Arabidopsis thaliana: one gene and its partner. The protein of the gene in region 1 interacts with the protein of each later gene in a pairwise test. Each region holds a gene or a part of one and is shown on either strand. Other genes may lie near its edges.

Evidence for each region. The genes of interacting proteins can lie anywhere in the genome.
Region 2: the proteins of FAR1 (region 1) and HAM3 interact in a two-hybrid assay, tested with the Arabidopsis thaliana proteins (one large-scale study listed by BioGRID).

Annotation. Positions count from the first base shown.
Region 1 is NC_003075.7:8,611,985-8,618,777, forward strand, and holds FAR1 (FRS (FAR1 Related Sequences) transcription factor family), read left to right. Parts: upstream 1-2,075; 5' UTR 2,076-2,289; exon of another isoform or gene 2,290-2,708; 5' UTR 2,709-2,821; coding exon 2,822-4,945; intron 4,946-5,041; coding exon 5,042-5,095; intron 5,096-5,215; coding exon 5,216-5,284; intron 5,285-5,378; coding exon 5,379-5,441; intron 5,442-5,533; coding exon 5,534-5,605; intron 5,606-5,693; coding exon 5,694-5,741; intron 5,742-5,832; coding exon 5,833-5,886; 3' UTR 5,887-6,186; downstream 6,187-6,793. Other genes in the region: AT4G15080 (DHHC-type zinc finger family protein), read right to left, coding at 2-115, 201-245; catalytic LigB subunit of aromatic ring-opening dioxygenase family, read left to right, coding at 6,470-6,706. UniProt on the Arabidopsis thaliana protein: Transcription activator that recognizes and binds to the DNA consensus sequence 5'-CACGCGC-3'. Activates the expression of FHY1 and FHL involved in light responses. Positive regulator of chlorophyll biosynthesis via the activation of HEMB1 gene expression.
Region 2 is NC_003075.7:56,401-61,158, forward strand, and holds HAM3 (GRAS family transcription factor), read right to left. Parts: upstream 3,096-4,758; 5' UTR 2,706-3,095; coding exon 1,029-2,705; 3' UTR 740-1,028; downstream 1-739. UniProt on the Arabidopsis thaliana protein: Probable transcription factor involved in plant development.

The DNA of each region.
Region 1 (6,793 bases):
CCACAGGAGAGTAAACACCGAGAAGAATATACTCCCAGATGCGTCCTCCAACAAAAGGAGCGAAAAACGCATAGTATGCTACACTCAATAAGCAGAACACCGTAATCGCAACCACCTGTTTCATGACCAAACGAAACAAATGAACTAAAACCCAAATGTTAGAAATTGGAGAAAATCAGAGAAAGGTTGAAATAAAAGACCTGAAATTTGTGAGCAGGAAGTTGCCAACCATGTTTCCTCACCATTTTTGCTTCCTCCCAAAGCTTGAACACACTCACGAATCACAAAATCTAAACGAAACCCTAACGCCGCCGCAAATCGTAAAAAGAGACAATTTTGCTTGCAGTTTTGCGAAACCCAGAAGGATATAAGAGAAACCAAGCTGAGAAAATATCTTCTTGGTCTTCGTATCTCTCCCTATCTAACTAACTATGGTAGGTCAGTCATAGTCAAGTGACGAAAGAGGAAAGTAAACTCCTGTAATATATTAAATTGAAAATAAAAGAAAAATAACGAATGTGAAATTAGAGATGACCTAAGCGAATTCAAAGTTAGCAAATTTAGAGTCGAATAGCGAAGAAAAAGCTTACTGTGTAGCCATGGCGGAGACCAAAGTAACTGGAGAAGGAAGAAGAGAGAGAGAAATGGAAGAAGGAATAAAAGAGAGAATTTTTAGAAGAAAGAAAAAAGACAAAATAGAAAAGCGTTGACAGGCTAAAAGAGCGAGACGGACAAATGAAAGTGGTTACTGGTTACTATTAGTACCAACGCTGGATTTTTAGCTTACGTGTCTATTTCACCTCTTTGATATTTTCTTTTTTTCCGTAGCAAATTTTAATTATTTTTAAATTATATAACCATTATTAATGATAATATGGTAGCTTAAAGTATTAATTAAATAATATAATTTTTATATAATATTAAAAAGTTCTCAGTAATACTTAAATATATATATATTAGAAAGTTATTTAATGTCTAAATTTCAGATTTTTAGAAGAATTTAGCCAAATTAAATCAAATATTAAAAGATTTTGCTGTTTAAAAAGGAATTAAATCAAAAAATATTAAATGAATTAAAAACAATTATCTTCCACTCCACATAAAAAAAAAGATATGTGAGTAGAAAAGAAAAAAAATATTAAAAGATAAGATGCAAACCCTGCATTTGTAACTCCATAACTAAATCTAAAAGCAAGTGACTCAGAGCACAACTCTCGTACAATTTGCCCTACAGTTTTATTTATATTTGGTGGCAAATGTCAGCTCTGTTTTGATGTGAAAGCCATCAACATCATGTAATTGATTAGCATATTACATATAGAATATGAGATACCCACATATATATAGAAAAAATGACGGTAAAGATTAAAAAAAAAAGTATACTTGATTTGTCATAATAAGAATAAGCATGTATCTCATATGTACAAAAATAGATTTAATGTTATTTATTTTAATATTCTTGTATTTTTTGTTTTATTTGAACTTATAATAAAAAAAAAACTGTAGATATTAATAGTTATGTAAAAATCATAAAAATAGATGTAAAAATCATATTAAAAGTTATGATAAATTTAGTTTACTACATAACTCTTTTGAAAAATGTGGAAAAATTATAGTAAACTGTATGAAAAGAAGATTATCATACAGTTAAAATTAAAATCTTTTAGAACATGTGTAGTGGTGGTTTCTAACCAAAGTTTTTAATTTACTAAAGTAATAATAATAAAAAAAATATTTAATTTGAAGAGTTTTTTAAAATAGTTTTTTCAAATCTTTTAAATTAAAAACTTTCTCATATTTTCTTAGAAATTGTTTTAATTAAAAAAATATTGTTTATTATTTTATTATTATTAATGTAGGCGAGAGATTTTGGTAAAAAATCACAATGCTGATGCTTTTAAAATAATCAATTTTTCTAAGAATACATAAATCAGCAATGCTTCTCACACGCCAAACGTAAATATAGACGCGATTATGAAAAAAAATCGCGTCGAAAACAAACGTCATTATGTCATTACACGTGTTACCAATCAAAAAGCCTTTATGTTTAATTAGTAAAGGCTAGTAAGAGATTTACAACAAATGAAAAAAATAAAAATAAAAACATAATCCAAGATCCCTAAAAATTCCCAAAAAGAACCCTAGATTTTCTCCTCTCACGCTCCTTGGTTCCTCACTCGCTTTTGCTTCCCCACTCGCCTGCTTCGTGTTCTTCTTTGCTTTGCTCTTTTCACGTCAGAATTTTGCCTTCCCTCCCTTTGTCTCTCTCTGGGTGGCCGAGAAAATACAGTAAAAAGCCCTCACCAATCCAAAAGTTTGACATTTCCTGAATTTTGTAGTCTCTTCATTTGAATTCTCAGGTTTTCTCTTAAGATACATTAAAGTCTCTGTCTTTTATGCTGATACTAATGAAAGTTCAGTTCTTTCACTGAAATTTTAGAACCAGAACTTTTCTACTACTAGAAGTATGTTGTCTCTGACTCTCTTAGTTTGAGTTCTCAGGTCTCCTTCTCTTATTTGTGTGAAATTTTACTCTTTTTTGGCTTTAGAAACAGAACTTTTCTACTATTAGAAGTTATGTTGTTGAAAGTTCTTCACTTTCATTTGATTCCATTGATTTCATATTGCTTTGTGTGTTTCAAGTTTGATGTTTTTAGGTAGAAGATGTCGCGCTGGTTCTTATGAAGTTTGGTTGTGACATTTTTCAGGTGCTAAGGTGGATTATCTAGTAGAAAGATTTCAGTTTCCAATTTCATGGAAGCCCATAGTGGGGTAGTTGCTTTTGAGTGTGTTAGTGAATCCATATGTGGCTAAGGTTAGGATGGATTTGCAAGAGAATCTGGTTAGTGATGCAGGGGATGACCATATGGTTGACATTGTAGTTGAACCGCATAGTAACAGAGATATAGGAATTGTTGATGAGTTCAATATAGGTGGAGATGTTGGATTTAGTGGTGATCTGGATCTTGAGCCACGAAATGGTATAGACTTTGATACCCATGAGGCAGCGTATATCTTTTATCAGGAATATGCAAAATCTATGGGTTTTACTACGTCGATTAAAAACAGTAGACGTTCCAAGAAAACTAAAGACTTCATTGATGCTAAGTTTGCTTGTTCCAGATATGGTGTGACTCCTGAGTCTGAGAGTAGTGGTAGTAGTAGTCGAAGGTCAACTGTGAAAAAAACAGATTGCAAGGCTAGTATGCATGTGAAGAGAAGACCAGATGGGAAATGGATCATTCATGAGTTTGTAAAGGATCACAATCACGAACTTTTACCTGCCCTTGCTTATCATTTCCGGATTCAGAGGAATGTCAAGTTAGCTGAGAAGAATAATATCGACATTCTGCATGCGGTTAGTGAACGGACCAAAAAAATGTATGTTGAAATGTCGAGACAATCTGGCGGATATAAGAATATCGGGTCTCTTCTTCAGACCGATGTCAGCAGTCAGGTTGATAAGGGTAGGTATCTAGCTTTGGAAGAAGGAGATTCTCAAGTACTGCTTGAGTACTTCAAGCGTATCAAGAAAGAAAACCCTAAATTCTTTTATGCTATAGACCTGAACGAGGACCAACGTTTAAGAAATCTGTTTTGGGCTGATGCCAAGAGCAGAGATGACTATTTGAGTTTCAATGATGTTGTATCCTTTGATACTACTTATGTCAAGTTTAACGATAAGTTGCCACTAGCTTTATTTATTGGGGTGAACCATCACTCCCAACCTATGTTACTAGGCTGTGCATTGGTTGCTGATGAGTCTATGGAGACTTTTGTGTGGCTGATAAAAACATGGCTACGAGCAATGGGTGGTCGAGCTCCTAAAGTTATACTCACTGACCAAGATAAATTCTTGATGTCTGCTGTTTCAGAGCTCCTACCAAACACTCGTCATTGCTTTGCGTTATGGCATGTTTTAGAAAAGATTCCTGAATATTTCTCACATGTGATGAAACGGCACGAGAATTTCTTACTGAAATTCAACAAATGCATTTTCAGATCTTGGACAGATGATGAGTTTGATATGAGGTGGTGGAAAATGGTCAGCCAGTTTGGACTTGAGAATGATGAATGGCTGCTATGGTTGCATGAACATCGCCAAAAGTGGGTGCCCACATTTATGAGCGATGTGTTTCTGGCAGGCATGTCGACATCTCAACGTTCAGAAAGTGTGAACTCTTTCTTCGATAAGTACATCCATAAGAAAATCACGCTGAAAGAGTTCTTGAGGCAATACGGTGTGATTCTGCAGAATAGGTACGAAGAGGAATCTGTTGCAGATTTCGATACTTGCCACAAGCAACCTGCATTGAAGTCCCCCTCGCCCTGGGAGAAGCAAATGGCAACAACTTACACCCACACAATATTTAAGAAATTTCAAGTCGAGGTCTTGGGGGTTGTCGCTTGCCATCCTAGAAAGGAAAAAGAAGATGAAAATATGGCGACGTTTAGAGTTCAAGACTGTGAAAAAGACGATGACTTTCTTGTAACGTGGAGCAAAACTAAGTCAGAACTTTGCTGCTTCTGTCGTATGTTTGAATACAAAGGGTTTCTTTGTCGGCATGCTTTGATGATTCTGCAGATGTGTGGTTTCGCCAGCATCCCGCCTCAGTATATATTGAAAAGGTGGACAAAAGATGCTAAGAGTGGAGTATTAGCTGGTGAAGGAGCAGACCAGATACAGACCCGAGTTCAGCGCTATAACGATTTGTGTAGTCGAGCCACTGAATTGAGTGAGGAAGGTTGTGTGTCAGAAGAAAACTACAACATCGCATTGCGCACACTAGTCGAGACCCTGAAAAATTGTGTTGATATGAATAATGCTAGAAACAACATCACTGAGTCTAATAGCCAGCTTAATAATGGTACTCACGAAGAAGAAAACCAGGTAATGGCTGGGGTAAAAGCAACAAAAAAGAAGACTGTATATAGGAAAAGAAAGGTATGCTTTTACTGAAGCTTCTCGCCAATCTAAACCTACGTACATTTTCTTAGCTTCAAAGGTTAAAAAGAAGATACTCAAATTGATCTTATGCAGGGACAACAAGAGGCTAGCCAAATGCTTGAATCTCAACAGAGCTTGCAACCAATGGTTTGTGCTTTGATTTGATCTTCTCTAATTAGTTTGATCATTGTAACTGCACATTGCTTTATGAGATTAAGAGTAGGATGTCTTGGATATATGGCCTTATAGTTTTAACATTTTGTGCAGGAAACTATAAGTTCAGAGGCGATGGACATGAATGGTTACTATGGTCCTCAACAGAACGTTCAAGGACTGGTATGCTATGTTAGTTGATTAATACAAACCTGGTTAAGCCATTCGACATCTATTATAAACCCTAATACTAAACCTGTTTAAACTGTGGATATAGTTAAATTTAATGGAGCCACCTCATGAAGGCTACTATGTAGATCAACGAACCATCCAAGGCCTGGTAGGTTACATATAGTTTAAATGCTTGAATCTCCCAAATCTGTGCTAGAGTATAAGTCAACGACATGAATTTTGGTTCTTTTGACTCTTCAGGGACAACTGAATTCGATAGCACCGGCGCAGGATAGCTTCTTCACGAATCAGCAAGCCATGTCTGGGATGGTGGTACATTATAAAATCCTTCAAACTGATTTTAAAAACTGTGTTATGAATGATCGTGTTGTTAACATCTTTTGTTTATTGTCCGGTCCAGGGTCAAATCGATTTCAGACCTCCTCCCAATTTCACTTACACTTTACAGGTCTCAGCTGCCTGGATAAAGTCTTTACTTTAGTATCATTTTGTACTCGAACCACACGTGTTGATATCGTTAAATCTTTTCGTTATTCCAGGAAGAGCATTTGAGTTCTGCCCAATTACCTGGTAGTTCATCAAGGCAGCTATAGTAGCAACACGTTTTGATTACTTTGGAGAGAAGTTTTGTCTCAGGAAACATTTGCAAGAAGCTGTTCCAAACATGAGAAAAACACAAGATCTTTCATGGAGCTGAGTTGCAATGACAAGATGTAATCTTTTCTTAAATTGGTTTCTGTATATTATGGGATTGCCTTATGATGTATTAATGTGGGATGAAATATTGTGTTATCTGATTGAATGTCTTGAGATTTAATAGATGCACTTGTAACAACATCTTTATCTAAACACATAGAAATCTATCCTCTGTGTATTAGTCAAACAAGTAATTTTGAGATCACATTAAATCAAAATTGTTAAAACAGGTTTCAACTTATTTAGTAGAAACAAAAAGTTATTTTTAGATTAAATGTGGTTAATTTGGTTAAATACACATTCCCTGGTCGTTGTCGTATGTAGGTGTGTCCCTTTTGACAAAACAAACAAACAGAAAAGGTTTCTTTATTCAGACAACATCAAAACTGGGGAAGAACCAAAACTAATAGAGTTGGTCAAAAGAAACATTTGCAAAAAAAAAAAAAGAGAGGCAAAGATCTCGAGAGATTTCAATTTTCAATGGAGAAAGTGAATCAAACCTTCTTCTTATCTCATGGATCTCCAACTTTGAGCATAGATGATTCCTTGGAAGCGAGACAATTCTTCAAATCATGGACTCAAAAAGTTCTTCCTCAAAAACCCAAATCGATTTTAGTCATCTCTGCTCATTGGGACACCAAATTCCCATCTGTCAACACTGTTCTTCGCAATAACACGATCCACGATTTCTCTGGCTTCCCTGATCCTATGTACAAGGTAAAACCAAAAAAAATATAACTTTTTGTCTCAACAGATTTTTAGGGCTCTTAGATCGTTGAAGGATGCATAAAGTTTTGATTTTTA
Region 2 (4,758 bases), 8.6 Mb from region 1:
CGACCGGTCTTCTGCTTGAGGACACGGCTTATGATCTGTCAAAACTAAACTATTCACATTCAATCAAATGTGTCTGTATCCAACCAACGTTTATTGCACAAGAGACAATAACTTGCGGCATATTGTCATTTTTCACTCACAAATTTTAGTCGTCTTTCTCCATTTAATCAACTCTTGATATGTTTCTAAAACGGAAATCTTTTGTAATGCTTAATTAGGACCTTAGATGTTTGAATATATATTTTAAATAATTATCCTAAATGATGTTTTAATATAAAGAGTAAACCAAAATATGTTGGTTTGTATTACTTAGATTAGCTTGTAATCTTTTTATTGAAATGAAATCTTCACATTAAAACCCCAAAAAAAACATGTTGATGTATTGTATACACTTGGTTTGTTTCTGAAATATTTCTATAGAGAAATGCAGTTAATGCGTAAAGCAAATGGGCGCATTATATATGTAATGCGTATGGACCATTTAAAGGAGAAAAAGCAAACCTTTGTTTCGTCGGAGAAAAAAAAAGGTTAGAAACGGCGCACACAAAAATGTATTGTGGTCCAAATAAATAAAATAATACAAGACCCATGTGACATCATGGAGACATATGTTTATAAATTAAAAATAGACCCCTCGCAAAGACACAAACCACAACAAACTCTAACCATTATATAATCATATAATCACAATAATGAGCAGTAGCTTTCTGCCTCGCATCAAAATCAACACCCCATTCATTTTTAATTAGAAAAATATAGTATTGAGCTAATCCAAGCATTATTCTATCACGTTATTTAGTCGATCAAAAATAATCCCCACAATTAATATATATTGAATGTGTTATACAATAAGTGTTTGATAATCAGACAATTAATTAACTTCTCACAAAAATTTATATATTTGTGTGAAACTTAAATTTAAAAATCCATCGCACTGAGCAAAATAAAATCAGAAACTAAAAATTTGTCATTTAAGATAAATTGAATTAAGGAAAATATTTTTTTAATAATTGAAACTCCGGTGGAAATCAGGAGGAGCGACATCTCCATGCTGAAACTCCGACGAGTTCTGTCCTTTGCCAACATAGGAGAAGTGAGTTATGTTTCTTCTCGACGTGAAAGCCTCTCACTGGCGTCCGTTGGACTAAACACTCGGCTTGAGACTCCGTGAAGTTACTGTGCGTCACCGGTGAGAAACCCATCTGTAGAAACATCGCTTGCCACGTCATCATCGGCCTTTCTATCGGACGGCTACGATCCAACACCAGCTTCTCTATCTCCGGCTGTATAAGAAACCTCTCGATCTTCTGCATTGCGTCGAGGTTGGCGTTGACGGCGTCGAGGGATTCGAAGAGAGCGGTGTGTGAGTGCAGCGAGTGGGCGAGCTGTTGAGAGAAGGGCAGATCCGTCCTCTCGCATCCTCTGTCGGAGCAGACGATGATCGTCGGAGATAGATGCTTCACGAAACGGAGGACCAAAGGGAGGTGCGAGAAGGACGCGGCGGAGATGTTAACGGCGACAGCTTCTTTCTCCGACGAGTTAGGCCACGAGATGGAGCCGAGGAGGTCTAAGCTCAAAACTTGGATGTCAAGGGAGATGTTGATCTCAGAGGCGAAGTGCTTGAGGTTGTCTTGAGTGAAGCCAAGTTCGAGCTGGTCGTGGTTCGCCGGAGAAGCGAAAACGGTGATCTTGAGGGAGAGAGGAGCGGCGTTGTCGCGGAGAACAAGCTCTTGCATGAGGGAAGCCCATTGGCCACCGTAGCCGATATCGAAGTCGATGATGTGGAGACGGTGGAAGCCATGGAAGGACTCTAAGAGGGCTTGGTTGGAGGTAAAGTTGGCGAACTGAAGAACGGGAGAGATCTCTGAGAAGGATTTGTAAGCAGCGATCTTGAAGATGAGGGAATAAGGGTTTAGGGTTTGGGAGACGTTGTGAAGGAGATTATTGAGAGCTTCTTTGAAGTAAAAAGCTGCTCTTTCTAATGGCTTCCCGACGGGAGAAGAGAGCTGTTGATTGAGCCGCGCCAATATCCCCTGAGCTAGACACGTGTCGCTCTCTATGACCTCTGCTGCCTTAACCAGCTGCTCTGTTATCCCCACGGGACCAGGGTTGAGCCGCTTTGCCGGCGGAGGTGTATGGTGGTGGTGGCCGTAGAAGATAGCCGCAGGATTCTGTGTGTAGTGGGTTTGACTTTGGTTGATCAGAAGACCGGAAACATGTGACGGCGGAACAGAGTGGTGGTCTAAACCGAAGCCGGTGTCGACGACTCCGAAACCGGGTGATGAGTAGTCAGAGTCGTGGAAGGTGGGAGATGTTTGGAGAATGCTGTTGAGTTCAAGAGAGGGATCTGTGGAATCTCCCATGATGAGTCCGAGAATGCTCTGTTCGTGGTCATGAGGAACTTGCTCCTCCCAATCACCCAACCCAATGGCTCCGCATTGCTCATCGGTGGTGGCGTCGCCGCCGCCTCCGACGGCGCTGTTTCCGCCGTGAGAGGAAGACACCGTGGAGGAAGAGGTTGGGCTTATGAGGGAGTCCAGAACAGAGGTAGGCTCCGCCGCGGGAACTTCTTCCTCTTCTTCTTCGCCGCCTCTTGCTTTGCGGTGGCTCAAAAGCGGAGACGACGGTGGTTGGGGGAAGGAAGACGAGAAAGAAGAGAAACAAGAAATCCCCTTCCCTTGAAACTCTTCAAAGGGTAAGGGCATTGCAGACGATAAAAAATAGTGTATTTGTCTTCTTGAAGCTCTTCTTCTTCTTCTTCTTCTTCGTTGTTGTGATGTGGTGTGGTGAGGTATATTGGATGCGTGCAAGATATTAAAGTGGCAAAGTGGGCTTCCTCCTTTCTTTTTCTCTCTTATTTCCGTTTCCTATCATTTTGCCTTTGTCATTAACTTAGCTGATTAAACAATTCATCAGCTTCTCTTACACAACATTTTGTTAATCTTTGCTTTCTAATCTTAACTATGTCTTCTATTACAACCCCACTCTTACATCACGCGCGTGGCTTGCAAACTCCTTTCAGTGACATGAACATGATGGTAAACAAAAATACTAAATGTTATGATATATTTTTAAATATTGTATTTGTCTTCTTGAATTACTAGAAACTATTAAAAAAAAAAAACATTTTCCCCATATTTTTGATGTTGTACTGTATATTTAGATGTCATAATACTTGCCCAAAAAAAAAAAAGGATGTCATAATATATTGGGAATGTTTTTGTTTTCTTATAATTTATTTTCATGATTAAAACTTTGTGGCTTGCAAACTATATTTGGGATATTGTTTTGTTTTGTTTTATCTCAAAGGTGCTGTCGTTATTTCCTTTTGTGTGATCTTTGTCCCCAATAGTTTGTTTTAGGGTTTGGACAAGCTTTTGGATCATCTTTATCAAATTAACCACTCAAATCACCCAATCCATTGTACGAGCTAAACCACATATTGCAGTGCTTATATTAATTTGTGTTTCCTTTTTTTTTTTTTTTTTGCTACGGACATAATCTAAATTTATAAATCTAAACAAAGTGGAAACAAAAACTATGTATATATTGGAGTTACATCAAAAATATCTGTTTTGTTTTTCTTGTTTTAACTTAACGAGATACGAATGATCGTCATTATCTGAAACATTCATGTACTACTTATAACAAAGAAGGAGTTATATATATATTTACGTGTATATAAAAACATACTTTCTTTGGTACATCTTTTCGTTTGAAGGAAAAAAGTGATTGAAGATCTGTGAATGATGTTTCTTCTGTGACAAGTTAAATGCACGAGAGATTGAGAAAGAACGAGTGGTAGTCCTTTATTGAGCAGACAATGGAAGTCACCAATCACCATATATATACATATATAAATATATCTACCAATGGAAAACCCTATAATAAATAAATGAATAAAGCAATCAGAAAAAACAACAAGAAAGAGAGGTGGGTAATTGATGAAGACAGATTAAAATCGGACCAATTTTGCAATGAATGGCGACAGTTTCATTATCATGTATTCATGATAATGAAAAAGCATTTACTTTTCTATGCAAACCAATTCATTAGTATAAACAATATCAAAGAAAAAAAAAAAAGTATAAACAATATCAGATTCTGAATCTATCTTTTATATGCGAATTATGACCGCACAAAAAAACACAGAGTTCAGTTTCTTGTATAGTAATTTTTAGTCCCATATTATAATACTTGTTAAGTACCATAAATATTTGATGATTATTGATAGTTAACTTACTTTATATAACAACAAAAAGTTAAAATGTTCATTTTTAAGATTTAATTAGTTTATATGTTCCCATGTGATTTGCTAACAACTACTTCTCACACTTTTCTTTCTTATACAAAATTATTATAAATCTTGAAATGATCGCGAAACTGTATTAATATTATTTCTTATTGACATACATAATACACCAACACATTTTCAAGTTTCATGATATATTAATATAATATTTGGTATATTGGAATACTAAATATATGTGTGTGTTAACTTCGTGAGGGTGAAGTAAGTTACGTGGTGAAAACATGTTCTTTTCTCTCGTCTCAAGGCACCCTTCATCACAAGCAACACACCCAACCCCACTCAATCGGATAGTTCGTATGATGAACAGAATCGTGCTTTGCCATAATTAGAGGAAGAAACAAGTCAGCTAAATATATTAATCTTGTCAAACAATAATTTATATTGAAGGATAACGTGTTAGAGTTTGTATGCATGTAACCATATATAAATGATTGCGTCGTTCATTT